4 linked regions of the Rhinolophus ferrumequinum genome follow. The protein of the gene in region 3 binds, or shares a complex with, the protein of the main gene of each other region. Links are inferred from orthologs where the notes say so. Each region holds a gene or a part of one and is shown on either strand. Other genes may lie near its edges. The genes, in order: NRXN1, DLG1, CASK and LIN7A.

Region 1 (7,561 bases), on a different chromosome or scaffold from region 3:
GCACCAACATTGTTGTGTGTAAGTAACATTTCACATTAAAAGGATACCGGGCTTCTTAGGTTAATGGCTGATCCAGGCCTGGGGCAGGAAGGCAGAAAATGTACAAATGAGGCAGGGAAATCTGGTTATAACAGAAAACAATAAAGTTATCAGACTATTACTGTTAGATCAAACAGATTTAGGAGGCAGTTTGAAGAGACTCCTTTTACTGGATAAAAGTGAGACATTGACTAATATTCTAATAATAAAATAAGCGGATTGAAACATAGCAAACCTCTTAAGATCTATCAGTTAATAATACTATAAAATTCTCACTGGTCACTATATCAGTCATTCATTACCAATAATCTTGTGAAGTAAACCACCCCAAAACTCCATGGTTTAAGCCAAAATCCAGGATTCTTCCTCAGGGTCTGAGGTCTCCTGGAGGTCAGCTGCTCTAGTTGGGTTTGCCTGGGCTTGATTCCAAGCAGCAGAAGGGGTCCAGTTCCCGCCTGCATTTTTGTTATCTTCCTTGGGTCAGGAGCAAATATGTTCCTCTTGTGATAATGACAGAAGGCCAGAAAGAAAGCCAAACCAAACAAGCACATGTCAAGCTGTTTATTGCTTCATGGCTGCTAACATGCCTTTAGCCAAAGTCTCATGACTGATCCCGAAGTAAAGAAAGGGAAGCACACTCTGCTCCTACTAAAAATGAATTTAAAAGTAACAGCGAGGATGTAGACACAGATAGGATGGAGAATTAATGTCAATAATTTACTCTCCCACAGTCACTTATGGGACCTTTTCTAGAGAACCAATTAAGATTCTAAAATCTCAATAAATAAGAAGATATCCTTAAAAATATGTATTCTGCCTTTCCAATACAAACTATACATCAAGATATCCAAAGAGTTGATGGCGAATGTATTTCTTCATCTAATAAATGAAGAAAGAATGATAAAATTAGAATATCACCATTCTTGAATACTCTAGAATTAGAATATTGCCATTCCTTTACCTGTAATGAAATAACATACTGGCTATCACTATTGCTTGTTAAACATATTACATATGAAGATTGTGGAGCAAGGAAACTCAAAAACAATACCAGTGTTCTCAGGAAGTAATTGAGAACCAACCTAAATAGACTGTCAGTAGCCAAAGATGACAAAATTTGAACATCAATTAGCATAATAACAGCCATGGACCAAAATCCATTAAAATATTTAAACGCATGAATCATAAAGATATTGAACACAAACAAAATTCAAGCAAACAAAAATAACACATTGTTGACATTTGGATGGTAGAAATAAAGGCACTATTTTAAACACAGGAAAATAAAGGAAACAGGCATTTGTCCAGCTTTTTCTATATGAACTATGACTCAGGGTAACTAAATAGTTCATAAAATAAAGTTACTCTTTATAGGACTATTTCAGTTAATAAATTAACAAGGATTGAATGAATTAGAATATCACTATTTTATAACCTCTAATTAAATAATAGATTTAAATAATGATCATCAATTCCTAACATTACCCAAAGAAAGACAAACAGCTCTTGAATAAAATGCATAATGTTTTCCATAAAGCAGTATTCCCCAAACCTCCTAACTTCAATCTAATCAAGTCTCTAGATCTCGCCTCTAATTTATATGAGATGTAGGGGACACTGAAGCATGTTACCTTAAACCACGAGATGCAGTTTGTAAACGCCAGAGCGTAGGAAACTGTAATGCAGCAATTTCTCAGAACAAATAAGATTGTCCATGAATTAATAATTGTTGAAGTTGAAGGAAGGGACATAGAGGTTTTAATCATATTTTTGCATGCATCTCAATTTAAATAATAATTGTTTTCTTAAAGTAAACCAGTGTGCATTTTTTGAAAGTGAAGCATGGTTTAAACAGAAAAAGTCAGTCTTATTTTGGGGGTGGAGAGCCCAAGTTATCCTTTAAGCTGTCTGACAAGAGAACCCAAGTAACACTGGCTAGTGGACATTTTCGGAACCACTGATCTTCCCCTCTGAATACTATTCAGAAGGCTACCTAATATCAGTGATATTCAGAAATTAATGATGGCACTAAAATGTGGGCTAGTTTCTATGGCTCAGAAGTTAATCTCTCATCTAGAACAGTAACGAAAATTCCTGGGATAGAAGATTGAACAATTCAAAAAAAAAAAAGAAAAGAATCACTCATGTGTCCATATTTATGCATTAGGCTAAATATGTAAATATGTTTCCTACATGTCTGGTGATCAAATGTCCTAAGTATCTTTATAAATAATTTATGATGATATGTCCTCATAAGTAATTGTTGTATATTTCATAATAAGAAACTTTTGTGAGACAATTAATGAATTGCCACCAATACTTAAGGAAAGTGAGATGGAAATATGGTGACTCTTTTCTGCTGTCATTTATATTCCTTTATCATCCATGAAGGACTGGCATTACGTGACATCGTTTATTTTGTTCCTCAAACTCTTGTGTGCTAGATCTGTCCTCTTATTGTTTTTATGTTGTTAAGCCTCTTCAATAGAGTAATAAGAATTTTAATAGCGCAAAGGCAATGTGCTTCCTGATAAAACTGTGCAAGGACTATTAAGAAATATTTATCAGTGTTCTTGTTGCCTTAACTACAGAGGCTTTTATTTTCAAATGGGACTTTGAGTGGGTGTAATAAGCAGCTGATTTTTCTAGACTTGAATTTCACAGGGAAAGACCTTAGTTCTTGGATTTGTGACTTTGGATTAATGGTATTTATTGACTTTGATTATGCTTTTTAACTGAAGATAGTGGGAAGCTTTGGCATTAGAAAGTCTGTTAAATGTATTCAATTGTATGTGTGAAGTCAACTAGTAAATCATAAATCTTTAATTTGGAAGAGATAGGGATTGAGGGCACAGTCAAAGTTTAGGAAGATGGATGGAGAGAGAGAGAGAGAGGGAGGGAGGGAGGGAGGGACGGACGGAGGGAAAGAGGGAGGGAGGGAGAGAGAGAGAGAGAGAACAGTGCAGAGAATCAGTGATATGGAGGGAAGGAGGGGTGATATGGAGCCTATGAATAGATACGTGAACAGAAGTGCGCCTCTGTGTCATCCATGGATGACAGTGCACTCATGGAACTTGTTGTCTTGTGTTGGTTACGTAGGCCAAAATTTAAATGTTTTAGTTTCAGGAAGGAAAGTAATAAGTAATTGATGCTGGTAATACAAAAATTGAGAACAAGCCCTTTCTGTACTTTCTGGTAGGTACATTTCTAGAGCAGGAGTGCTGTTATATATACAGCCAGATGATTACTAGTCTGGCTCTGTATGTTAGCTCTCATGCCCATAAGGACACTTATGGACATAGGCTATAACATAAACCAGAAACTCCCCAGAAAAAGCACCAGAGAGAAATCCAAACTACAATTTTTGCTCAGCCACTACTCTTGTTATTAGTCGTGCTATTTCATTATTTTGCTGTTTATAACATAGGGAAGAGTAGTCATATGTTCCTCTGCATTTGGAGGCTAATTGGGAAATGAGAGAGCTCCTTGGAAGACGGGCTCGTCCCACCAAATTACTACACCAAAACCTTATATATAGTACATATACTGGGGATGCCAAAAAATGTACACATTTTAGGAGATGTTACCTATGTATTACTTTTCAAAGTTGAATTAAGTACAGTAGCAATGTATAGCATGACATTCGCTCAAAAGATGGCATTGATCAAATGAATGCTAGCGTCATTCATTGTATTACAATTTGAAAACAGTTTTTTCCTTTCTTAAAATGTGTCTATATTTTTTTGGCACCCTCTGTATATATCACAAACAGAAGGATTATCACCCAGTGGTACTCAGGTTTAGGATACAACAGAATTTTATGGGGCGGGGGTGAAAGTTAAAAATTCAATTTCTGGGCTTCTTTCTTATAAAATTCCAATCCATTTCACTATTGGACTGGCCCAGGAATCTGAATTTTATTGAACAGCCAAGGTGATTTCAATATGTGTAGTTCCTGGAACATGATTATCATAAACACTAATAAGCTGACACGATATGAAAAGAGGTAAAAATTAGAAAACCTACATTAATTTTTCATGAGATTATAAAAAAAAAATAATGCTCTCATTGTAAGAATCTGTAGGTTTATTTATAAGCATATGGACCTATTACACATTGTATAATTTATTGAATGTAATTCTTACTCAGTTATAATATTTTTAAATGTAAAATAGTTGACATGATAAATTTCCCACGAGGTAAATAAAATTAAAGTCTCAATCACCTAAGCATAGCATTCACCAATTCTTGTCATTTTTAGCATATCAAATATATTCTAATCTAAATTTCCAAACTGCATAATCTAATAAAAGTCACTTGCTGTGAAAGTCCCATGAAAACTTAAAGAGATATAAAAATGCCAAGTCTTTTTAAATTTTTTTTGGCATTGTTTTGAATAGAACCAGGCGCAGTCTCTGGCCATTTTTTTTTACCACATAGTTCCCGTTAGCACACTTTCCTCTGCCAACAGATACAAGCAATAGTGAATAGCTGTCAGTCTACCCAACTGTTTTTCCAAGAATAGTTCTCGGACAACAGGCAACAGAATCACTTAGTATTTGTTATAAAATACAGATTCCTAGACCCTCCCTTACACATATTCACCCAGAATCTGGTTCAAGACGGGTGCATGATGATCATGGATATCTGTAAGTAAATAATGTTCAGTTTTAGAGTTTGAGATGCTCTGCATAAAGATGTTAAATCCTCTCATGAAGTACAACTGAGAGGGAAAAAATTAGGTAGCTTGAATTTCCACTGTATTTTCTGAAACTGTTAACATCTTTCAATAGTGTCAAAGGAAAGCCTCCGATGCAGGACCAAGGCTGGGGTAAGCTGAATGAGGCACTTGCCTTGGGTGTAAAAATTCAGGGGTGATTACATGATAGAAAATAAATAATAAAAGCAGGATACAATGCTGTGTCAAGCCACACTGAAACTGAAGTAAAATAATACTTAAATAAATTAAAATTCCATAGTATTTACATTTTCATTTTTTTGTTCACCATGGATATTTTGGGATTGATTTTATTTTTTAATAGTACACTAAAATATTGTTCATCTTGATAACTGAGTTTTTCAGGGCCCCACCCCCTTAATTTTTGGACCAAAGACAAATATCTCACCCTAGTTCTGGCTCTACTTCTCGGCGCTGTGCTGAATGAAGTTGCCCCAGTTATTTTAAAGTATATGGACATCCAAACATGATAAGTTTTTTCCCTCCATTACATCTCCTGGGTAAATATGTTTCTGCTTACAGGTAGTACCAATCATGTACACCAAAATAATCAGGTCTGTTATGTTTTCCTAAAATAAACTTACATTTTCCGAGATTAAGTGCCCTAATATATTTGATTTGGTTAATATATTTTTTAAAATTAACTAGCTAATGTACTAAAAATGAAACGAGGTAGGGAGGAGGATGCGTAAAGAAAAAAATCATACTGAACTGGAATGCCTGTGTCCAGGTTTGGGAATAAAGTGAAAAATACTGTGTTGATTAAATAATAGTTTTCCTCAAAGACTAATACTTTATTTTTTGGTTATTATTTTGTTCTATTTTATTGTTATTATTATATTTTTTTATGAAAGAGTTTCTCTAAAGAAAATACTTTTGAAGTCCCATGACCAAAAAGAAACCCAAGCCAAGTATTTGATTGCTTACTAAGTACTTGTTGTGACATGTTATTCATAGAAGCAGATTTTGTCATACTGGTTCTTTCACTATTGCAGAGTTTCACTATTGTCTTCATTAGACTAAAACAGCTTGTTTAAAACCTACACATTGCAGGGCTCTTTTGAAAATTGTTCAAACCTGGCATAGATTTGAGAAATAAAAAATAATAAGAAATCTGAAATATAAACTTAATGTTAGCCTTTTGGTCACAGTTAAAGGAGCCAGGGTTTGGTTAATTGTGGAAGTGGAAAAGTGGACCGATGACAGCAAAACATGTTGGTGATAATTTCTTAAAAGGCTTCAAAAGAAAAAGAGCAAATGTAGATGAACACAATTACCACTGGAGATGTTCACCAATATGTTAATAGAGAGTATCTCTGGAAACATGACTCAGGTGCTTTTAATGTCCCGTAACGTGCATTGTTTAATTCTTTTTCTATGAGATTGTTTTGCCTGTATACAAAATATCCTCATAGTTGTCACTTTCAAAAATGCATTCACATCCTAATGTTAGTGGGGAAGTTTTGGGGTTGGGACCTAAAGGGTATTTTTATTTTATTTTTATTTTTTGTATTTTTTGTATTATAAGGATTATGAGGCCCTGAATTGCATCAGTTTTATATAGTAGAATTTTCAAACACATTGCACATTGAAATTGATACTTTATTAAAGTGGTTATATTATTGTCCTATACAATGGTGGAGAATAGAGCAGGAAGACTATTTGAGGTCATTTTAACTTCACAGTTCTTTATTTGAAACGCTTTTTCAAAAAATGAAAGAGTACTACAGTAAACTTTCAAGACTTTTGCTGGTTCCATTAAGTTGCTGCATGAATGGGGTTCTCCAACCCAATTCCAACATGGAGGACGAGTTCCCCCGACACCAACAAACAATTATTGAACATAAATAGGGTATCAAAGAATTCAATGCAATTTTGACATTATTTACCTGGAAGCAGAATCAGATTCCCCAGGTTAAGAGCCCTCGCTCACCTTCAACACACACACACACACACACACACACACACACACACACACACTTCAGAGGCCAGCTTAAGCCCAGGCCCTATGCTTATGTTTAACTGGCTACACATTGGAGGGTCCAACCATCCTCTTCATGAGTTCAACTAATTTGTTAGAATGGCTCACAAAACTGGGGAAAACCCATTTACTCACGAGATTACCAATTTTTTTTTTTTTTTTTACAAAGGATATTAAAAGATGAATCAACAGGCAGATGAAGAGATACAAAGGGCAAGTTCTGGAGCCAAGGAGCTTCTGTCCTTGTGGAGTTTGGGCCCAGCATGGTGGCACTTGGAAGTGTTTTGTTTCCCCAGTGTGAAATCTCTCTGAAGTTGAAAGACCAAAGAACTGTCCTCCAAAGTTTTTATAGAAGCTCCATTACATATTCATGATTGGTTAAGTCACTCAGTTGAACTCAATCTCCAGGGCTTCTCCCCTCCTTGGAGGTCAGTGGATGGTGGGACGGAAAGTTCCAAAGCTCTAGTCATCCAGTTGGGTCTCCTGGCAACCAGCCCCCACTATGGGGTGTGGTCCTAAAGTCACCTTCTTCACAAAACCACAGATGCCTCGATTACTCTCCCAATTAGGAAGGTCCTAGGGTTTGAGAAGCTGTGAGCCAGGGATTATGGATGAAGACCAAATATCTTATAAAACACAGTATTGCAGTCAACCCCCTGGACTTTGGACATGGATCCCTCACAGCAAAACAATTACATAAGTCAGAAGATGCTGGCACATTCCTGGAATTTCATTCAGTCATTAATAATTATCCAGTCCATCATCTTATCATATGAAACTGTCTCTCAGGGAGAGGACACTGA
Region 2 (7,127 bases), on a different chromosome or scaffold from region 3:
AGCAATGGTGTCCTAGACCATGTTATTTATCTTGTCCTTTCTCAGTGTCCTCTCCTGCAAAGTGGGAGGTTATAACCAATAAGTTCATCTCATATGTCATTGACTACTATATGAAGGGGTATACCAGTATAAGAGTATACCAGTTTAAATGGCAGGCGGTTATTAGTCCTACACCTACTTCGGAACCCATTACTCCATAATATAAAATTTTGAGGGTGGATCATCCATTAAAGAGCATGAGTTCAGTGCCCATTGTCATGGAGATGGGCAACTGTCCACATTTTAAAAAGAATTGGTTTCAACTTGTACCTTTTGTTCTCATAAGAATTATCTATGCAGAAGGAGGTCAATCCCAGTATCAATTAAACTGGGTAGAATGGATTCTTGATGTATATAACATGGTACTGATACCAAAGAAGGGACTGAAGTTTTAAGTGCTTAGAACTTTGGTTTCAGAGGTCACTTAGTCCAATTTGCTGGCCTGGGTATTTGCTCCCTCTGAGAAGGAAGCCTTGCTGGATTCTTTAGCCTCTGCTTGATGGGAAACTCCCACCACCTTCCAGCAGCTTTTTGGAATTTAGAACAATTCTGAGAAATCATGTTAAAGAGGAACTTCCTATATCCCTGTAATTTTCATCCATTAGTTTTAGTCCTGCCCCCTGAATACACAGAATAAGGCTGTTTGAAGAATGAAGTCAAGTTCCCTGGGGTCCTCTCTTTTCTCAAAGAAATGGCCTTAGATTCTACAATTGTTCCTCTGGGGCCAGGTTCCATATTCCCTATCGTTTTGGCTACTCTCTTCTTTCCAGATGCTGGTTTGTCTAGATCCCTCTTAAAGTGTGCTGCCAGGAAATGCCCCCCTGAGCATTTTGTGGAGGTCTGACCAGCTTAATCACTTCCATCATTTTCTCAACACTGTTCCTCTTCATGCAGCATAAACTGGCATAAGCATTTCTGACAGCATCAAATCCTTTCCTTTTAGTGATTGCCTGGCACAGGCAGCACACTGCCACTCGGCCAGAGTGAAAACAAAAGATGCAGTAAAGTCTGGCGGACCTGGGCACCTTACAGAAGAGGATAGGCTGGGAATGTGAACAGGGGAGAGGACAGAGTTAGAGACGTGGAGCTATAAGTGTGGCTTAGTTGGGGTGCTTGGGAAGGGAAGGTTTAGAACTGAGAGATAGCTAATTTGGGGCTGAAAAAAAAAATTTTTTTTTAAATGAGGAGATTGGAAAAGTAATCAGATCCTACATTGGATCCTATTCAATGGCAGATGCTACCTGCATAAAGTAAAGAAGACTTCAAGGAAATAAAAGTTGTTTAGAAAAATCCAGATGCCATTGCATTGCATGTTTCAACGATGTGGTAGCCAGCCTCCAAGATGGCCCCTAGTGATTCTTTCCTCCTTTGTATTATACTCTTCAGGGGGATATTATACTCTTCAGGCGAATAGGATATTGTGGAAATGAGAGTGTGGCTGCTGCCTTGCTCTCTTGGGTCACTTGCTTTGGAGGACATCAGCCACCAAGTCACAAATACACTCAAACAACCCTGTAGAATGATCTTTATGGTGAGAAACAGGCTTCCTGCCAAGAGTCAGCATCAACTTACCAGCTATGTCAGTGAGCCATGTTGGAAGATTCTCCCTTAATCTAAGCTCAGGCGTCAGATGACTGCCGCCCAGATAGACATCTTGACTGCAATCTTTTGAGACCCCAAGCCAGAACCATCCAGCGAAGGTCCTCCTGAATTCCTGACCCACAGAAACTGTGAGATAATGTTTATTGCTGTTTAAGTTACTAAGCTACTAAGTTTTAAGTGACAGCTTTGAGGACTTTGTTATGCAGCTATAGATAACTAATACAGATGGATAGAAAGGAGGAATGGGAAGTAAAGGCCCCTCACATTAGGCTGGGACTTGTCTTGGCCCCTAAGGGTGGAACAAGCGGGTAGCTTCATTTTTACTTTTGGATAATGCTGACAGCCACGTGGGGCTAGAGGATGACAAGAAAAGGCATCGTGCCTTCTTGTCTCCTCTTCCTTCCTCCCCCCTTTATTTTTAGGGAAGGACAAGGAGGACATTGAAAACTCACAAATTTTGTTTTTGGCTTTTCAGTGGCTCCTGGAAAAAGCTGCACTGGCCTTCATCCATTTGTTACTAGGCTGTGGGGTCCTTGAGAGCATGGCTTGGATCTTATTTATTTCTATCTACGTTGCCTAGCAAGTGAACACTTGTGAGCAATGAATAATATTAAGGAGAAGGGCAAAATCCCTTCCTCTGTTTCCTGAATTCTGAAGATTCCATTCTTAGAATAGAATCACAGTTTGTCAATGAAATCTTGATAATAATAGTATGCATGGCACCAGCCATTTTCACTATTAAAAAAAACCCATTTCACTATTTCAAAAATCCCTCTATTCAAGCTCCTTGTCTTTAGGAGCTTCCTTTCACTTTTCCATCCCATTTCTTCTATGAAATGTTGCTTTAACAGTTGCTTGATGCCATTATACCAACATACCACTGTCAAGTTGCCCCAAAATCACAGTGGAAAGAGCCCGGAATGGAACTAGGAGAACTACTTTTGGGCTGCTGTCACTGATTAGGCTATATGTCCTTGGGCAAGTTGCTTCCCCTCTCTGGATCTCGGTTTCATTATCTTAAACTGCGTGGGTCTGGTGGGTTCTCACAAGTTAGAATTTCAAGGTGCAATCCCAAAGTGAAACTAGTGGTCACTATACTTCTGAATCACTATACTTCTGTTAATGGTTACAGTACAAGGTTCCCCAGACTTCCTTTTTATTCCAAGGATATGGCCTCGGTGAAAGGCTGTCGGGTTTACTGGGAAGAGTCTTTCGGTTTTGAAAGACACAATCTCCGTGTTTCCAGTTTTGTCGCTAACTGTGGGTGACCTTGGGCAAATTCTTCTCTCTGGATCTCAGAGCAGGGAGGTCCCTGTTATCTAGAAGGGGCTCAAGGACCTGGGCAGTGACTTGGAGAGCTTTCCGCGAGATTCTTTCTACAACCTGGGTAGCTCAGCCCCTGAACGGGGTCCTGGCCCGCCCGCAGTCCCGCTCGGAGGTGCAGTCGAAACTTAAACCAGCAATGCGAGTTAAGGCGGCTGTGCTTCAGAGGAGGTGGCTGCAGGTGAGTTCTTAAAGGGGCCGCCTGAGCTTGGGTAATACCTGAGGCTTATGACGAGGCAGGTGTCGCAGGCAAGGGGGGAATGAATGAATGGGAGAGTGAAAGAAGGAACGAATTTTCTCTTCCCATCATTAAATGTATTCATGCTTTGAATTAATCACTTAGACTTAAAACTCCTCTAGTAAAACCCTCAAACTCTTATCAATCTTCTTATTTTACGTGCCCTTCTTTAATTCAACCCCCCAAAACCTTTTACTGAATAGTAACTTTAAAAAGATCGGTACAAAGTAGAACATAGTGCAGAGATGGTACCACCCCCCGCCCAAACTCCCCCCTTGCTCCCTTCCTAGGCCCCATTCTCTCCCGCCCCTAACGTGGGTGGCACAGTCAACTCCACCCCGAGACCGCTTTTCTTGGTTGGGGATCCAAGCCTCGGGGTGTCAGGCACTTTCTCCTGACGCGGAGATGAAAACAGCACGTGTTTAGTGAGGTTAAAGGGTGTCTCGGAATGTGTGTCTTGGATCTCGTATAGGTGAAGTCACGTCTGTCTTCAGACACTCCGACCTTCCCGGGTCTGGCTCGCTACTCGCTCAGAACAGAGGGACACACCGGTGGGCTAGGGCGAGGTAAAGGCGGGCTCAGCCAGGGCCATCCCAGACCACCTGTAGAGTCCATGTGTCACTCCTTTGTCCTCAGAGCCTCTACGGTGGCGCCCCTTTAAGAGAGGGGGTTCACTTGGGATGCTCTCCTGGTCCCCGTTCTCGTTCCCCAGGCCCCTCCCGGCCCTCCTCCCCTTTCCAACCCAAAGGTAGCAGCGCTGAGAGCCCGGGGCTCGGCGCGAGCCGCCTCCTCACTTCCCATTGGCTGAGAGCGCCGGGAAAGCGATCACGTGGGGGCGCGGCAATCCAGCTCCGGGGCCGCCATCTTGGCGGAAAGTTTGGGGGGAGAGCGGTTGGGGGCGCCGAAGGAGGCGAGGTTCCGGGGGTGGGGCGGCTAGGAGGGAAGAGGGCGAGCGGGCTAGCTGGCTGCGGCGAGTAAGGAGGCGGCGGCGACATCGGCCGAGGAGGAGGAAGAGGCAGTGGGGGTGCGGCCGCCGAGGGGAGCTCCTCCCCCGTTCCCTCACCCCCCTCAGCTCAGCTCCTTGCCCCGGGCGGGGCGGGGGGACGTGGAGCGGAGCAGGGCGGGGGAACCGCCCCGAGTCGGATCGAAGCGCACCCCAGCTCCGAGCGCACGCCGCTCTCAGGAACTTTGTGGCGGTGCCGCAGGTGTGGGGGCCCGCGGAGGTGTGCATGTGGGGCACCAGGGCGTCGTGGAGAGCGGCCGCTGCCCTGTCCGGCCCCTGTTGGAGTAGCCCGGAGGAAGCAAGCCAGGAGAAAGGCAAGCGAGAGGTAGGGGCCCGGGTAGGGCGGGGTGATGAGCCCCGCTGGTCCCTTCTCGGAGCGCTTTACAGCCTCTGCTGGCTTAGGGGGCTAAGGGTCGGAGCGCCTCTTCACTCCTCCCCCCACACCCGCCAGTAGCAGGTGGGGAGTGTGCATACTTATGCCGGGGGAGGGATGGCCCCACGTCTAGGCATTTAGTGCCCTTTGGAGAGGGGGCAGCTTTGGAAGACAGTTTGGAAGCCGACTTCTGCCTGCTCTTAATTTGCAGAGAGGTGCCCACCCCTAGGTAAAACCTTGTCTAAATTGACTGACACTGAGGACCTTCCTTTCACTTGGGAAAACTTTGCCAGGTGAGCTTTTCAAATACGGCTGGGAGTTTTTCGATTTGAGATTTAGGGGGAAATCCTAGTTTAGCCAGGATTCTATTCTCTTCTTTAGTTCTTTTTCCTTTCTGTTTTGTGTTTTTAAAGGTGTGTACTCTTCCTGATTCTGGAGAAAAATGCCGGTCCGGAAGCAAGGTGAGAATTTATTTCGGAAATCTCTTGTGGATGTCACTTGCTTTTCTGTATGCCTTTTTTTTCTCATTGCTGTATTTTAAAAATGTTTGTGGAACTCTGATGGGATGGCACAGTGCTGGCTAGCCTTACTACTTAGGGAATCTAAGCCTCACGTCATTCAGAAGATGGAAACACCTGTATGTTTGTCAAACTTTTTACCTTGGCATCTCTCTAGTGATTATCAAGAGGCAATTTTTCCCCTCTGCAATGTCTTTAAAAACTCTGAATTGGTGTTTTAATATTTCATTATCATTCTTACTAAACACTTTTGTGAGCAAATGTGGAACTGGCTAAGAGCTAGTATTTTGAAACATTTAAGCTTTGGATTATAATGACCAATTGTAGATAATCTGCTTTTGCATATCAGATCAGCTGAAACTATGTTACTAATACTTTTATCAAATTATCTTTTATTGTCTACCTACCAGACACATTTATTACAAACTACTCACCTTCCTCCTTTTTCTACTGTGACATGTTTAAATTTTTTTTGGATCATTCTAGGGAATATGTGTATACATGAACATAGTAGCATCTATTGACGAGATGGATTTTGGGAACTGTTTAGCTGTCTTAGAGAATCATTTGCTACATAGCTAGTGTGTAATACTTTCTTGTAAATATATAATTTTAATCAGACTCTATTTTTCTTCTCAGATACCCAGAGAGCATTGCACCTTTTGGAGGAATATCGTTCAAAACTAAGCCAGACTGAAGACAGACAGCTCAGAAGTTCCATAGAACGAGTTATAAACATATTTCAGAGCAACCTCTTTCAGGCTTTAATAGGTGGGAATTAAAATTTTATTTGTGACCATTATGTGTCAGCTAGGTTTAATGCTCCTCTGAATTTGTTTATTTAAGACTTAAGAGAGTGATGTACTTAGTTCTCTGTGAGGCATTCAGTAACTTTAACATCCAGTGAATTGTATATTTTGATAGGCCAATATCCTTTTCAAAAATATCTGAGAACTGAAAAAGCTTTCAGTATGATTATTTTAGTCTTAGAAAACAATATTTCACATCCTAGCATTAACAACTAAAAAAGGGAGTAGTTACAAAATTGTTTCCAAACCCAAAAGGTAACAACTGAATAACTGTTAGCTTGTTTCTGTGACTTGAATTTCTCTGGAGTGCCTGAAAATGTTTGAAGAGTTTTGCTATGTGTAAGAACATTCGTTGCATTAACATAGACTTCTGTTTAAACTGGGAGTCAGAATTTTAGATCTGGAAAATCTTAGAGATGATTTTGTCCAATCTTATTTTATAGACAAGAAAATTGAAACCATTTTATTCTTAATTGTAACTTAAATTTGAGATGGTGCATTGTTTTAAAGGAGAACTGGACAAATAGTTACAAGTCCTGAATTCTATTCCTGACATTGTCATTAATCAAATAACATTATACAAATCATTTAATCTTTTCTAGGTAACTGTAATATGTGGGTGCAATGCAACAGTGGTTACTAAGCCTTTTTTCAAAGTAGTTAGATCCTTTTTTAAAACAAAATCTTATATTTTGTAACCAATCCCCATTATATAAAACAAGGTGATCTATCTCTGGCCTCTTCTCCAGGTGCCTCGAAAAGTGTGCGAACCATTGAAGTAGAAAATTTGTCCCCTTCAATTCTAAGAATGAAATATTTTTTTAATTAGTTATTGACTGTATAACATATTAAAATAGGATGTATGCTTCATTGCATTATAGTTGTTTCCTCAGTAACTTCCAAGTAGATATGGCGTACATATATCTATTGATAAAATAACTTTTGATATGATTTAAGGACTACCTTTAACTTAGTGTACCCTGTCAGATAACTTATTGGTAAATTGATACTTTTTTTTTTAATTTATTTTTAATTTATTGGGGTGGTAAATTGATACTTTCTACTGAATTTGTTTTAGAATTCAAGAAGGTTTTAAAGAAGACCACTCAAAACACCTGAACAATTTAAAAAAAATTTAACATTATAACTTTAAAAAAACATTTGCAAGAATAGGGAGAACAGTATAATGAACTGCTATATGTACCTGTCACCCATCTTCAAA
Region 3 (7,723 bases):
GGGTAAATGATTAAACTTACCAGTGTTGATAGGCTTGTATTTCATATTGGTGACTTATTAATCACTTGACCTTTTCCTCAGTGCACTTAGCATAGTAAATTATGCTTCTTTCTATTGAGCATTGGGTGACTTACACGACTCTTTGCAACTTAGCCAGATCTGGGCTTAATATAAGTCACCCATTGGACACACTGCAGCTGATTGTGCATTTTTACCATGTAGTGTGACAGTTTAGTGGCAGCCTGGAAAGAAAGCACCAGGAAATACAGAAAAGGAAATTTTAAGGAGGAGGTACAAATTTAATTCCCCACTTTACCTTCAAAATCTCTCATAGCTAAGTCAGAAGGAAAAATTCTAAATGCTGTGTGAGATTTAAATTTGTTTTTTTCTACACAAAATATAGCTCGTAGAACTAGTTTCAATTAGTAGAAATAAATCCAATGCCCCCTTTTCTGGCCCTGCTCTCTTGATACTTCTTTAGCTCTGATACTATTGACTCTCCCTTCATCTGTGAAAATTGTATTTTTTCTGTTATGCATTTTCTTCCCAAGAATCCAACCACTTTAACTGTTTCTATTGGATCCTCAATCTCTTCCTAATTATGACTGATTCTCTAATCCAAATCAAGAAACATACAACTATTTATTTATTTAACAAACACATACGGAGTACTTACTATGTTCCAGACACTTTCTAGATTCAAGAGTTGAAGGAGAAAGGCTATAAACAAAACAAATAAAAGAGAATTCCAGGAAGTGATAAGGGCTATGAAGTCATTCATTCATTCATCATTCAACAAATGCCTTTTGAATACCTACTACATACCAAGCACTGTTCTAGATGCTGAGAATTCTCTTTCATAGACCTGAATTGGGCCTCTCCATGGTGAGCAAGATGGGACAAGGAGTTGGAGGCAGGAGCCCAGTGAGTAAAGTGAGGCAACATCTAAGTACGGGTTGAGGGTGGAGTTGATTGGGGTGGAGACTGAAGAAGTGGAAAAGAAAGGCACAATCCAAAAGAAATTTTGAAAGAAAAATTGACAGAGTCTAATTACTAGCTGAACATGGAGAAAGTAGAGTGCTAAGAAAAAGCCAATGCCAGCGCTTGGGTATCTAGGAGAACAGGGAGCCTTCCCATTATTCATTCTGCCCTTCTCCTATCAAAAAGTGTCCTGACTTTCCTTTGGGGACTTTTCCCATCCCTACATTCTCAGCCATGAGATTGATTCTCATGCCCAGCTTGAGGGTGGGGCCTGATTGGTTAAATGATTCAGTGACTCATTCCGTGGCTACAGAGATTGGTTCAGGGATGGTCATGTGCCTTAATACAAGGCAAGCAAGAGACAATAAATCCTAGAACATGGGCAAGATCTACTGGACAAGACTCCTCTTTTCCTGGATGCTGATATATAAGAAGGTGAAGTCTGGAACAGTAGCAGTTATTTTGCTACTTCAAGGGGAGAGCATGGAGCTTTGGGGGCCACCTTGCGGAACCTAAGGATGAAGGCAGTACCACAGAATGCACAATGATGAGACTGGGAGAAAGTGGATTTTCAGTGACATCATCTGAGTCCTAGATCAAGCCTCACATGAAGCTATTATACATCTCAACTTTTCAGTTACGTAAGCCAAGGATTCTCTGTACTGTTTAAGCTGGTTTAAGTTTTCTGTTACTTGTAACCAAAAGAATCCTGACTATTGCAGTCTCCATTAGCACATAGCACAGTGTTGAGTCCCCAGGAGGCCAATGAGCACTTGTGATCTTAAGTGGCTCAATGAATGGATACCTTTTGATTTCATTTTGAGTTACAACATGTTCAGTGTATACAGGCACTGTGCTGTGTCCAAAGGCAATCTTGTTTCTACTGTCAAACAAAAGTTTCCAGTGACTTGTTCACTGATATTAAAGGAAGAAGGGTAAAATGAATCTTTAGACAGAGGTTTACAGAAGGAAACACATTTGTATTCATATCCTCTTCTGCTCCCTGAAGTGTTCTTTTGCATTTGTTATGGTTTCTCCACCCTAGTGATGAAGTCAGCCCTGGCTCCTTTTTTCTTGTCAGTGAGCTTATTCAGAGGCCAGTGTTAGGGCAGTGGTTCTTAATTTTTAGGTGTACAAGAGTCACTAAGGGAGCTTTTAAAAATATAGATCCCTGTGTTATCCTCCAGGAGATTTAGATTCAGTAAGTCTTGGGCAGGGCCCAGGAATCAAAAAGTTTTAACGTTTTTCATATGATCCCAGATGACATGGATGCAGTTGTCACTTTGAGAAACACCACTGACTTAGGTTGGGTTCCTCCAAAGCAGATCCTGATAAGGGGATTCATGAGCAAATGATTTATTAAGGAAGTACTCCCAGGAGAAACCTATTAGGGAATGAAAGAGGTAGGAAAGGGAAGGGGAGGGAGCTAGGCAAAGTCCTGCGGAGGGTAGCTGCAACCTGATCCCACAGGGAAGCTCAGGATGTAAGTAACCTCTCAGAGTTGTCCCCTCTCCTAGGGAAGGGAGCTGGGCTTTCACATTCCTGCACTAACAGCCAGATGGGGCAGACCTAAACTCCCAGGCACTTCCATGTAGGCAAAGTGATTCCAGTAGCTTGTGGGAAGTCCTCTGAAGTCACAGGCATGGGCTTTGGAAGCAAAAACATGCTGCAGCTGGGGGAGGGGCACAGAGAAAGGTAAAAAAACGGATAGGAAGGAATTTGAGTGGAGCACTTACAGTGTCAGCTCCAACCATTTAAGGGATTTCAATATTTAGTACAGGAATATCTACATTTTAAATGTAACTAAGGGAGAGGATAGTGTGCACCAAATGAAATGTGGGACCCTCAACAGAAGCAATTCTCAGGCTCTAAAGCTCCCTTCTCTAGAGAATGCACAAGCACATTGGGAAAGGAGGAAAGTCTCCTCATACAATTATATTTTCTCCTCTGATTTGCATTTTTTTTAAAAAAAGGTTTAGTACTCAAATCCTTAACAGTGGCAAATCTCTCAGCCTCTGGAGGGAGTGGTCAAGGATGTACATAAAACGTTTCTGAAGAGAAAATAGGCTGTGGGTCTCCACCCACCCCACACACTTTGGTAAATACTATGTTTTCTTTTTCTTTTTTTAAATTACCGCACTAAGAATTTTACCAGATGATTTCTAGAAGCCGACTTATGAACTAATTGGGCACTTCTGCTGTGCAGAGGAACAAAGACTTTTTTTTATTGGTCCTCAACTGAGCCATATACCTGTCTGATGGCGTTGGCTCATTCCGCACATGCTCAGTGGAACAGAAATCTTCATATTGAATACAATCTAGCACAGCGGCAACACCCAGAACCGCACTCCCTGGTTGACCCTGTGCATCCACTCCCTCTAGTTGATTTTTTATCCTGAATTGTCTAACATTTATAGGGAGTGTAGGGAGCAGAGTAGGTCCTGTGGGCTTGACGGGAGGTGGGGAGCAATATACAAAGGGGCTTAAAGCCTGTTTGTTCCTGCCTTCCTGACCTCTCTCTAGGCTGTCTCGAGAGGGGGCAGGAGCTGGGTAGATATTTGTTAAGTTTGGGCAGAATGCGGGAGAAGCTGTCCCTATAAATTGCCATTTGTTGTTGCACACCTTCGTGGACAGTTTTTGTTTGGTCCGGTACTTGTAGGTGGACGACCCCCCTTATCCAGCCCTCCTTTTCATTAAAGAACGACAGAGTGGCATTAAAAGCATTCGCCGCCTGGCACAGTCTAGAAGAGTGACAACCTCTCCACCTCTTGTTTTCCCATTCATTAGGACCCTTTCCCACAAAAACCGGGAAAGGCTTCCTGTGGTTACAAAGAAGGGGGTTAGAGCGACTGGGATTCTGAGCCTCTCGCCGCAGACAGCCAACAACATGCGTTCGGTCGTGGACCTTTTGTCCTGGCCCCTTCCGCGGCTTGGTCGCGGAGGTGACGACCCGGACCAGCCACCGCCTAAGCAGCTGCCACCCGCGCGCCCCGTGGGCCAACCCCCGCCCCTTTTAGAACCGCGGCACCCGCCCGTTCGCCGTGACGTGACCGGCGGCGCGCGCATGCGCCACTCATCCCTGTTCCCTTTCCTTGGGCCACCGCCCCCCGACGGGCTGGAGTGGGCGGGGCCTGTGGGTGGAGAGGCAGCGCGGCTGTAGCGGGAGGAGGGCGTGTGTGCGCCGGGCGGGTGCGCGGGGTAGGCGAGCTGGTCGGCTGCTGAGGCGGAGGAGGAGGAGCTGAAGGCGGCGGCCACGGCTCCCGCCTGCAAGGAGAGCCAGTCCCGCGAAGCCCCCTCCCATTCCCAGGCGGGCGGCGGCGGCGGCGGCGGTGGCGGCGGCGGCAGCGGGAGGAGTAGAAGGAGGAGGGAGCGTCTCTGCCGCCGCCTCCTGGTCCCCAGCGCCGATCTGCCGCCGCCACCTCCCTCCGCGGCGATCCTCCCTCTATGGTCCTGCCGCGGCCCCTTCTGTAGCCCGAGCTGCCCCGCGCCGTGCCCGAGCCAGCCTCAACAGAGGGAGCGGTCGCGACCTCGCGGCCCGCGCGGGCTGACGAGCGGAGAGCCGGGCCGCGCGGTCCCAGAAGATTCGCACGCCGGGCAGCGCGGCCCGAGCAGCGCGAGGAGCAGCGGGCGGGCGGGCGGCGCCGGGCCCGGGCCGCCCTCGCTCCCGCGCCCCGGCCCGGCCGCCCGCGCCGGGGCAGTCGCCCGCAGAGGAAGGCGCCGCAGTCTCTGGGCCTCGCGCCCCACTCGAGCGTCCTCAGTACCGGGGGCTCGCGAGTCCTGAGGGGAGGAGGCGAGCCAGGGGCCGGGCACTGAGCTCTTTGGCGCCCCCACCCGCGTTTTTGGAGCCCTCCACGCTGCGGCCGCTGTCCCCTCCGGACCATGGCCGACGACGACGTGCTGTTCGAGGATGTGTACGAGCTGTGCGAGGTGATCGGCAAGTGAGTCTTCACGCGAGGGAGCGGGAATGTGGGAAAATGCATTTCAGTGATGCCCGGGTTCTCCCGTACCCGCACCCGCTCCGGGCCTGCCCCCTGCCCTCCCTCACCTCCACCGCCCTGGTCTTCCTCACCCCCAAGCATTTATAGACGTGTACCTGGACCTCCTGCCGGGCGGGGGTCTGGGGAGTTCCCAGCGATCCGTGGAGGTGAACGAGCCGAGGTCGGCCACCCCTTGAGGCGTGGGGCCGGCTGAAATCTGCTGTCTGCATTTTATCTGACGGTTGCACAGGGACGTGGCCGAACCGATTTTATAGTTGCTTCCTGGGAACAGTTGGGATTATTGTTACCTTGTGTGTAGCACAGACCATTGACAAAAAAAAGCAGCTTGCATTTCCTTTGCTTGCGTGGAAAGAAAGAGAACGTCCAGGGTTTTTAATTGTGGGGTGTGTGTCTATTGTGCAGGATATTAGATAGATGTCTTTGTGTTCACCCCATGCCCGGATCGGAGGGGGTCATTTGAGACAGGGTACGTTCAGTTTCAGCAAATTCCTCACCTGGTATAGACGAACGTGGAAAGAGTTGGGGGGATCCGAATTTTTAATGCCTCGTTATGCAATGACTGTTAAATCAGTGTTCAAGGCTTCCCTCGACTGTTGTTGGGATGGTGGTTAGCGTGGTAGAGCCGTCTGCTTTGAGTCACCGGGCTGGTCTAGAATATAGAACTGACAGTCCAAATGCTCATCCTTTCATCTGTGTTGTATAATTACACTAGGGAAAAGCAGGGAATCAGATTAATCACAGTGCTGATTGAGAATTAAATCTGCAGTTCCTCATCTAATTGTCCATTCCTTAAATCTGTTTTGAATAGTTTCCTTTTCATTCTTGTCAAACAGTATTCCAAGTGCACAATCCTGCTAATTTGCTCGTTTGGGAAATGCTGGCAATCTGAAGTTGATTTCGTAGTTCAACGTGTATTCTGTGGGTTTTGAAGTTGAGATAAAATTTAAGAGCAATTCTTGCTTATTTTTTAAGGATTACTAGATAGCTACCATTGAAATATTTCACCTCTTTTTGGAAGCGGTGCTTTATTGTCTATTTTAAGGTCTGTAGTTGGGAAATGAAACGAAGATCTTAGAGCAGTTGGCTCTCTTTTAAGTTGTCTGCAGGGCTGGATTTCAATTTAAGTGCTGATAACTCATTTTTTCCCTTCCATGTTGAGGTATTACAGTGTTTCCTCACATGGTGAAATTGTGGGTAGAGCTTGCTGCACACTTTCCTCAGACCCAGTTGATAGGAGGACATGTTACTCCTTGTCCCTATTGTTTGTTACATGACCAGCCTGTCTACTATAAGAATATCCAAATGTGCCCCTGGTGAAGTAATTGTGGAAGTGCTCTAGAGCAGCGCTGTCCAAATGATATATAATGTGAACCACATGTAATTTTATATATGTAAATTTGGCATATGTAAATTTTCTAATAGCCATATTAAAAATATTAAAAACAAATAGATGCAATTAATTTTAATAAAATATTTTATTTAACCCAATAGATCCAAATTATTAAGATATTTTACAGCCTGTCATACTCAGTCTCTGAAATCCAATGTGTATTTTACACTAACAACACATCTCAATTCTGACACTACGCTACATTTTCATAGGAAATACTTGATCTGTATTTAGGTTTCATAAAATTTGCATTTGCAAAAGTAGATTCACATACCCAAGTTGTTCCAAACATACCTAAAAGTTTTCCAATAATGGATTCAAGTATCTTTCTAAATTTAAATTTAAATTAAATAAAATTTAGTTCCTTAGATGGACTAGCCACATTTCAAGTGCTCAGTAGTCATATGTGAATAGCACAGTTCTAGACAGACAAATACGTAACAAAAAAAAATCCCTTTGGTTTCTTTATTCTTAGCACCCAGTGAAGGTGAATTAGGTGCTAAGCCCCCAATGATTGTGTCTGTATGGGTGAATGATGTTTGTTATGTCTTAGTTATATTTTATTTAAATGAGCCAGCAAAGTCATAATTGGAATTTGTGAGATTAAAATGTTAATTATATTGTGGTGATGGAATATAGCCATCATTGAATCAATGTTAGTTACTAGTTCTGATTCCTTAAGGTCTGGAAGAGTGACGATGTGATCTCTTTGAATATCGAAAAGAAGTGGTCAGCATCGCATTAGCACAACCAATATTCTGCTGACTTATAACTGATACAATATTCTCAGGAAACACCTCTGATCGAAGTAAATTCATCTCTTCTGTTGCCTCAGAGCTGCATAAGGAGGGAGAGCAAGCTAATTTTGAGGTGATAGGTGCTCTATGGATACCTTAACTAATGTGAATGTGAAATCTCATTCATATCCTACAAAATCTGACTTGGTCAGTGCCATTTATGTCATTCCATGAAATAATGAAATTCAAGGTAGCCTTTGTGGGAAAGCATGTAATGATAGTGTTCCTCACCCTGTGTAAAGGTTGAAGGTTTCTCCGGTAAATTGTCTCAGCATATATTGATCTGGAAATTGAAATTCACTTGCGATTTTCTTACAGGAACCTTGACAGCATACATTTTAACTTAGAATTTGTTCAACTCTGGATTTAAACAGAAAGGCCTTGAAGATGTTCATTTGTACTGAAAACCTTTTTGTTGACTTCTATCCAAGTTCTCTGGAATTGTGATTTTCTTTTATGCCAAATTAGTATCACAAGTTGGTTTTGACCCCTAGGTCTTAATAAGTTTAAATTTTCACTGAGATTCTTTAAAATGGATTTCACTTTTCAAGACCAGT
Region 4 (7,839 bases), on a different chromosome or scaffold from region 3:
ATAGGGAAAACGAAAGGTAAAGAACATACTGGCCTATGTTCTCCCTGCCATCCTTCCCAGGGCCAAAACGTTGTGAATCTATGAACTGCACCTCAGTCACTACTAAATCCCTACATTTTAACAGTGCTTAAGTTACTGCAGTCCTTAGTTCACTGACACTAACTTACATTAATTTGTGATTTTCTACTGTAATCAGGGACTATGTCAAGCCCTGAGAATACAAAGATGAGTTTAGAAATGGTCTCTGCCCTCCAGGAGCTCTAGTTAATCAGGAGACAGATGCAACAGAGTGTGAGAAATGTTTTGATGGGGCCAAAGCAGCAAGTGACTTCAGAGCACAGCAAAGGGCATCAAAACAACCCGGGAGAAAGGGGTGATCCAGAAAATCTTCCAGTAGGAGACCAAAAACTGAGTCCTAATTATAATTAATCAAATGAAAGCTACACAGCATCAGAATCATGTAAGCCAAACTCCTTATGTAGCACAGAGGAAAACTGATGCCCAAGGAGACTAACTAACTTACTCATCCAAACTGAGTATCAGAGTTACAACTAGGACCCAGATAAGTATTATAGGGCTGCCTGTTTTAAGAGACTTTCCTTTCCTTTCCTTTTATTTCAATTTAATTTAATTTAATATTTTTGGTAGGAAATTGCGGCCAATAACCCATCATCTATAAATTACAGACTGCAGTGAGCTGCTGGTGAATTTATTCAGATACATCCACAGTCTCACCCAGCGTTGCCTCTTGAGCTACTTTACTGCCTGAAACTGATCACACTGGGAAGGATAGGTAGTCTGGCTGTGAACAAGAACAAACTTGAAGAATGGATCTTGGTCAGATTGTACTTCCTTTCCACAACTGAGCGAGGCATCTAAGGGCTAAGGTAAAACCAAAAAGGGAAGTATTTTCAGTAGTAGGCAGTAGTATAGAAAATTGCTCAGGTATGCAATTTTCCTGGAGTTTTTTTTTTTCTTCTTTTTTTCTTTTCTCCTAACGTAGTCGTTTTACTTGAGATATTTAAAGACTGATTTAGTAATGGGACAATATAAGAGCTCATTACATTAAAACAGAAATACTTAGGAAATCCATAATTTCTAATAGCTTGCCATCTGTTTGGCTCTCAGCAGCAATGGATTTGTCCTGTTTAGTGCAGATGATGATATCTGGGTGAAATCATGGATTATACAATGGATTTCTGAGCTCTTCAACTACTTACTGTTATTAATTTACTACTTTGCAAATCAACATTTCCCAACCTAAAATCAATTTTTTTTTCAACTCTTACGCCAACTAAGGTTGCTATGGGCACCACATAACATCTGTTCTGGCGCCAACAGATTGCGTTAAAGTCACCCACAATCTCTCCAAATTAAAAACCTCATCAAGTTCACTGGCTTTTTCACTGTACTCGCAGCAGGATGCTCTTTTGCCTTGCCTCACTGTCCAGTTTAATCCACTAGAAAGACTATGTTTAGAGGCACATCGAACTAAATCGTTTTCGTCTGAACACACCATTTCTAAATGGCCGCCCAGGGTCTTAAATTCGGCCGCTGCGGAGGGGGACAAGCAGGTGTCCTCCGCTGCAGGGTCTTGGGACTAGAGCGCCTTCACAACTGGACGTCGGGAGCAGATAGGAAACCAAACACACAGGGACAGGTATAACCTTTCATGGGTGCAGCAGAGAAACCCCGATCACAGCAGAGGACTCCATCCTCAGGCAGGGGGAGGTCCTGGGGAGGAAGCAAACTCGCTTTCCCCATTCAAGTCAGCAGGACGCACAGGGTCACAGGTCAGAAGTTGAATTTCAACCCAGCCTGCGCTGCATCCCAGCGCCTTCCGCGGCCCGGGCACCGCGGTGGCACCGGATAGAAGAGAAGGAGGATGGCTGGGGCAGGGGAAACTGAGTTGCCACTGCCAGAAAGCTGGCGGCGGCGGGGTCAGATGCGACTCCCGCAGCCTTCGGAGCGCGAAGCCGGGAAGAACCCGGCTCCGTGGCCGCGATGCTGCGCCCTCGGCCGGGGCACGGCTGCCTGCGCCCCGCGTTGCCCTTTCGGCGGAGGGCAGCTCTCCACTGCCGCAGCCCAGCCGCCGGGCGCCCCAACACCAGCCGCCCCTGGTTGCGCTCCGTCCGCCCCAGGGTGGCAGCCTAGGCACCCATAGCCGGACCGACCATCGCCCCCCGGCGCACCGACAAACTTCCTTCTTCCTGAACCCCGGGCCGCGCTGGCTGGCTGGCGGTTTCCCCGCCAGGCTTTCCAGGTCTCGGGTGTGTAGGCGCCCCCGCCCGGCTCGGCGAGCTTCCTCCCTGCCCCTCCGCAACCCCGAGCCCCGGGAGCCTAGCGGTCCCCGCGCCTCCGCTCCAACAAAGCCAGCGGCCCAGAGGCGACCCGGCGAGGGGCTGGGAGTGGCTGTGGGGGCGCCAGAGTCCGGCGAAGGCACCGCTGGGCCGGGCGAGTGCAGCTTGAAGGGGCAGCGGGGACGTGGCGGGCAGAGAAAGGGGAAGAAAGTATCCTGCTCTCGGCGCGAACGCCTAGCCTTCTCCGCTCGTCCTCGCTCGCTCTGCTCCCCCTGCCCGAGCGCGTCCGCCTGTCCCGGTGGCAGTTGGCAGGGACTGAGGAGGTGGCAGAGGGGACTCAGTGGCCTGACCGGCGAGCCGCTCCCTTACCTCTGTCCAGAGTAAGCGGCTGGACCACTGTCAATGTCGCCATGTCTGCCGTGAGAGCCGAAGTGACGCTCGGCTTCAGCATCAGCAACCGCTTGTAGTGAGAAAAAGAGGAGGAGATTGGGGGCGGGGGTGGAGAGGGAAGACGGAAAGGAGGGGGAGGAGGGGGGAAGGAGGGAAGGTGGTGGTGGTGGTGGAGGAGAAGAAAGCTTGGATGGGTTGGCAGCCAGATGGAGACGCAACTGTTCCGCGGCAGGCCAGACCTTCAGATGCCGCGTGAGGCTGAGCAGGTATCGGGGAGCGACTGCGTCGCGGGTCTGGGAAGAAAGGCTCTGCGCTAGAACTTTGCTATTCCACCCCAAGGAGCACCAGACGGGTGTAGCTGGTGTGTTGCTTTCTTTCAACTTTCCACGCAAATAAAATGGTCAGAGTATACGTGCGCCTGGGGGAAGGGAAAGGATTGAAACGTGGTATGGGGGAGGGAGGTAGAAAGATGAATGTTTTTCAGATTAAGAGAAATTGTCAATCCTGTAATCCCATCACCTGGAGAGAAAATGCTTCTAGTTCAGAAATGTTGGGATTTAATTATAGTTGCTGTTAATTTCTGTTAAAGTTTCTTTTTTTTTCTTTTTTTTTAGAATGTTGACTTATAACAGTATACAAGATAACTGACTTAAGGCCAGGTTCATCAAGTGGTGTCCATTAAGTACCTGAGTATATTGCCTAGAAAATAACTTATCTTAAAAGCAAACTTCTTAAATATACTTTTAAATAAAAAACACAAAGAGACGTTCAGTCATTACACTTGTAAAACATGTACCTACATAGCACTTTTTCAGGTTGATCTATAGCCAGAGGTTATTCAATTGCCACTTATTAATTAGCATGTGTGTCAGGAACTGAGCTAGGAGTGTTACATTCCATGTGCCATGGCTTGACTTAGGGATTCAACACAGTTCCTGTTTTCTTGTAGCTCATGATCTAGTGGGACATGATGTTATTAAAAGGGTGACTTTAGAGTCAGTTGATCAGGATTCAGTTACTAGAACCTTCAAATACCGGCTACGACCTCATCATCCCAACCGACTGCTTTTACTATCTTGCCATTGTTGAGACTCTCATTTCCTGATAAAGAACTTAAGAAGTTGTGTAGCATTTGAGGTTTTGCTCCCCAGCCTATGTTATCAGTTTGGTTAATACAAACTCTTATAAAAATTTTTAAAAAAAGAAATTAAGAAGTAAATAGAAATCTTATATAAACAGAATGGTAATGACTGTGGGTTTAGGATTATAAATGACAAAGCTACCTCCACCCTCTTCCCTCTGACAGAACAGAATTGTTTTGGCTAGCAATATATTGTTTTATAGCAAAACATTGACATATAATGTATGTCACTGTCTTCTGATCACAATATGGATGATTTCTTAAGATCTTTTCCATCCATGTTCTACATTTTTCAAAAAGAAAGCAAGATTTCACCAAAGATTTGAGAAAGTCAAAGACGATTGGCCATACACCTCACAGACCTGAAAAGACATCCTTAAAATAATAGTTCAACATGCCTATATTTTCATTTAGTGTTTTAGAAAGAACCTGATCTTGAAATTCAAATCTTAGTTCTGTGCTCTTCAGAAATCACATAATTTCTCCTTTATCCCCAGTTTCCTCATCTATCGAATAAGGGAATAAGCTCCACTATCACTGAGATTCAGTAAAGTGAGCGACCTAACTCTACCCTGCAATCTCACTGAATTTTCTGAGGGTCAGATGAGATTATGCATGTGACTGTGCTTTGGAAACAGTAAACTATATATAAATTTATTCATATGACAAACATATATCCCACCTGAAGGGTGTGGCAAGCACCCTACTAGGTGCTGGCCTTGCAAAGGTTTACACAAGACGTGGCCCTCTCCTCAGACAGTGGGCTCAGTTCAGGCTGGGAGACCAATAATGAACTAGCTAAGAGAATTCCATGCAGTAAGTGCTCTAAGCACCACAGAAAGGAAGTGTTGTGGGAGAGAGGTAAAAGCAACAATTCTGCTTGATTATCATTATTCATATCCCTTAAATCACACAACAGAAAGAAGTTGAATTGTGCACAATAAAAGCAGATTATGTTCCAAGGTTTTGCACAAAATATCAAACCTCATTCAGTAATTGAGGATGAAAAGGACATACAAATCCCTTGCCCACTAATGTAGTTCTTTTAAGAACTTACTTTATTATGAATATGGATTTGAATGGCATGATTCATAAGTCTAAAAACCATAATTGTACCTATTTCAACACAAATCCCAGATTGTGATATCCACAAATGTAGGCTTTTCGTCTTTTTGTTTCCAGATGTATCCCCAGCACCAAACATTTAATAGCATGTTTCTGGACATATGCCTTGAGCTCCCTAACTGAAAATTTATTCTATCATTCTTCTCTGTTGACTCTAGAGTTTTTGTAAGGATTGAAAGAGAAAGTAAGAGGAAGAGCAAATCACCATATACTCATCAGTTATTATTTCTAGTAGGGGCAAGTTCAATGCCTTTAGTTTATGCCTACACAGCTATAGAAAATGAATAATAAACAATTCATCATCTGTTAGAATTCACTTTTTATGAAGTATGAATTACTATTGTCTCTACAATAACATATGTGGATTTCTATTTGAGACATGCAGTGACATAAGAAAATTTCCGTACTCTCTTCTTTTACTTTAGTAGATGTGACTGACCATTCTTAGGTCTCTTGAATAATTGCGTGGACCACTCCTGTACCAACCAGTGTTTCATCAAGGTCAATATACTTGATGTACACATGTGTATGTTGCTGTGTTGATTGTGTATTAATCAGAGAATGGTTAAAACACCTGTGATTATACTTTTAGCAATTTGACTACACAATCACTACAATTTTTCATTAAACTCTGTGTCGTAATTTAGTTCATTGGCACTTATATTTTTAGTGGAATTCATTAATTCAGTAAATACCAACCACTTTATATATTCCAGGCTCGGTGCTAAGTTGTTTTCTCTTTCCTTTTTTTTCAGCCCAGAAAAAGTCAGTATTGTTATTCCATTTTATAGATAAGTAAACTGAGAATCAGAGAGTTTAAGTAATTTGCTTAAGAATAATAACACCTGTATTCAAAAGCCCCTGTGCTGTTCACTAAAAAACATACTTCATTTTGTACTATTGAAGATTTAGTGATTTCAGCCTTTTATTTCAGAGTTCCAGGTATATACCTATATATCTATATCTATGTCTGTATTTATCTATCACCTATTCATAGATATCCTTTTCCTTTTTTATTATGTTTGAGATATACTCAAAGAGAGGAATGTATAGAGGAAATTTAAGTCAAAGCAGAAAAGAATTATGATACTGGTTCCATTCTATATAAATATAGGTTAATATTAAAATGACTACCTACCTTGAAATATAAAATCTGTTCTTGTTAAAAAATTTACGTTACGTTAAGGTCTGTTTCACTTAATTGAATCTTTTAAATTATGTGACAAAATTAAGTGAAGGTTTGCATAAAACATTAGCATACTAAGAAAATGTGTTTAGTTAGATTATAAATGGAATATAATAAGCACAGTTACGTATGAGGAAAATAGCACCTTCAAAGTGGAATTCTTTCAGCCTTTGGTGTTAGAAATTGTTTTTGACTGATTCAAAATATCATGTTATCTTCCTTAATTCTCACAGCTTTGTCAAAATAGCACTAGAATAAGATGCAGTGCCAACCAATACTTTGGAATATGAATGTTTGTGGATTTTTTTTTTTAAAAAATCATCATACATAGAAAATCTTTCTATGTTTATTTTATCCTTAGATTTGTTCTGACAACTACATATGTATCTGCTCATCCAACAAATACATAATGTACTGATTATATGCCAAGCACTGTTTTAGGCACTAGGATTGCTGTGAGCAAGAAAAGGCCCTGGTTTTGCTGGGGAGAGACAGTAAACAAAGTAATAAGTAAACAAGAAAGAGAACAATGAATGACTAAGTACTGTGTGAAGAATGAAAAATTTGACAATTGAATTGGGTTTAGAAAAATGTCAGGATTACAAAACACAGAGGTAGGGAAACGGCATTCCTAGGAGCAGGAGAGTAAAGCCAGGGATGGTGCATAAAGCCAGAGTAGGCATGGTATGTGTTTGCATAAAATAGGCAGTATAAGAAAAACAAGACTGGGGTGACCAGTTAGCTCAGTTGGTTAGAGCATGGTGCTGATAACACCAAGGTTTCAGGTTGAATCCCTGCGTGGGTCACTGTGAGCTGAGCTCTCCAAAAAAAAAAAAAGAAAGAAAGAAAGAAAAAAGAAAAAAGATACGACAACCATTGAGAGTCAGGTAGTGAAAAATAACATAATTAACAGAAATTTAATGAACATTTTCATGACTTACTGTGTGCCCATCATACAATGAAATGAAATATACAAATACAGTCTGGACTAAGAAAAAAAACTTCTCTTGTAGATCTACATTAAAAATTACTAACATCAGAATGAAATGAAGAGTTACTAATTCAGAGTTGGATGTTAGAAAATTAAAGATGAAATAAAAAATTAAAAGTCAATTCTAACTATTTTTTATTTCTTTCAAAAGAAAGAGAAAAGAACTTTGAGGGAAGAAAATCTGAAATCTGAATAATTATTCCTCGGTTGCAGGGTCTTATTTCCATTATTTTACATTACATGCAAATCGTAAGTATAATAATTAACTTTTACTCTGAATCTGCCATAGGCAATAGCACATATAATAAGTGCAAAGTCTTTCTAGTACTAGGGTGCTTTATTTATGCATATTTAACTCATTGAATATAAAATTATGTTTTTGTTTCATTTTTGAAATGAATCTTTTTTTTTCTATTTTCACAGTTAGAAGTTAGATCTTTTTACAATGAAATTTAAATTCAAAGCTTACAATTTTATTTCATCCCAACCTTACATTGGCAAATACCATTGGGAACGCCTAAGAGATATAAGAGAGGCGAGATAAAAATGGTTTTTAAAAGTGATACTGAATTCATCTTTTTCTCACATCTACTTAGGAGATATTGCCAAACTTTTAGAACCCACAACTTTTAATAGTTTAAAAAATATTTTGATTACCATTTCACCTTAAAAAAATTAATATATTCAATCTTGAGTCAAAAATCAT

What was found.
Region 1: the proteins of CASK (region 3) and NRXN1 are in contact, whole or in part, in a crystal structure (PDB 6NID), measured with the Homo sapiens proteins. The link is inferred for Rhinolophus ferrumequinum from reciprocal best matches to the Homo sapiens genes CASK and NRXN1. Residues at the interface, in NP_001354650.1 of Homo sapiens: Pro500, Met501, Gly502, Ile503, Thr504, Leu505, Lys506, Ala516, Arg517, Val549, Gln553, Leu556; in NP_001317021.1 of Homo sapiens: Lys468, Glu469, Tyr470, Tyr471, Val472.
Region 2: the proteins of CASK (region 3) and DLG1 are in contact, whole or in part, in an NMR structure (PDB 1RSO), measured with the Rattus norvegicus proteins. The link is inferred for Rhinolophus ferrumequinum from reciprocal best matches to the Homo sapiens genes CASK and DLG1. Residues at the interface, in XP_038955489.1 of Rattus norvegicus: Gly339, Ala342, Ala343, Arg345, Ala346, Val347, Gln349, Val350, Ser353, Leu354, Glu356, Ile357, Leu360, Thr361, Asp367, Leu368, Phe370, Leu371, Ser373, Val374, Phe375, Asp377, His379, Leu380, Thr382, Leu383, Leu384, Asp385, Leu386, Tyr387; in NP_036920.2 of Rattus norvegicus: Arg4, Asp7, Thr8, Arg10, Ala11, Leu12, Leu14, Leu15, Tyr18, Lys21, Leu22, Glu26, Asp27, Leu30, Ser33, Ile34, Arg36, Val37, Ser39, Ile40, Phe41, Ser43, Leu45, Phe46, Leu49, Ile50, Gln53, Glu57, Val58, Leu60.
Region 4: CASK (region 3) and LIN7A share a complex: the UniProt entries of both Homo sapiens proteins name them as parts of the brain-specific heterotrimeric complex. The link is inferred for Rhinolophus ferrumequinum from reciprocal best matches to the Homo sapiens genes CASK and LIN7A.

Annotation. Positions count from the first base shown.
Region 1 is NC_046296.1:35,472,922-35,480,482, forward strand, and holds the start of NRXN1 (neurexin-1), read left to right. Parts: upstream 1-4,556; 5' UTR 4,557-4,688; intron 4,689-7,561.
Region 2 is NC_046285.1:51,451,068-51,458,194, reverse strand, and holds the start of DLG1 (disks large homolog 1), read left to right. Parts: upstream 1-4,119; 5' UTR 4,120-4,519; exon of another isoform or gene 4,520-4,530; intron 4,531-4,789; exon of another isoform or gene 4,790-4,871; intron 4,872-4,991; 5' UTR 4,992-5,020; coding exon 5,021-5,039; intron 5,040-5,735; coding exon 5,736-5,867; intron 5,868-7,127. UniProt on the Homo sapiens protein: Essential multidomain scaffolding protein required for normal development. Recruits channels, receptors and signaling molecules to discrete plasma membrane domains in polarized cells.
Region 3 is NC_046284.1:92,023,683-92,031,405, forward strand, and holds the start of CASK (peripheral plasma membrane protein CASK), read left to right. Parts: upstream 1-4,718; 5' UTR 4,719-4,860; coding exon 4,861-4,919; intron 4,920-7,723. UniProt on the Homo sapiens protein: Multidomain scaffolding Mg(2+)-independent protein kinase that catalyzes the phosphotransfer from ATP to proteins such as NRXN1, and plays a role in synaptic transmembrane protein anchoring and ion channel trafficking.
Region 4 is NC_046293.1:74,413,309-74,421,147, forward strand, and holds the start of LIN7A (protein lin-7 homolog A), read right to left. Parts: upstream 3,009-7,839; 5' UTR 2,752-3,008; coding exon 2,670-2,751; intron 1-2,669. UniProt on the Homo sapiens protein: Plays a role in establishing and maintaining the asymmetric distribution of channels and receptors at the plasma membrane of polarized cells.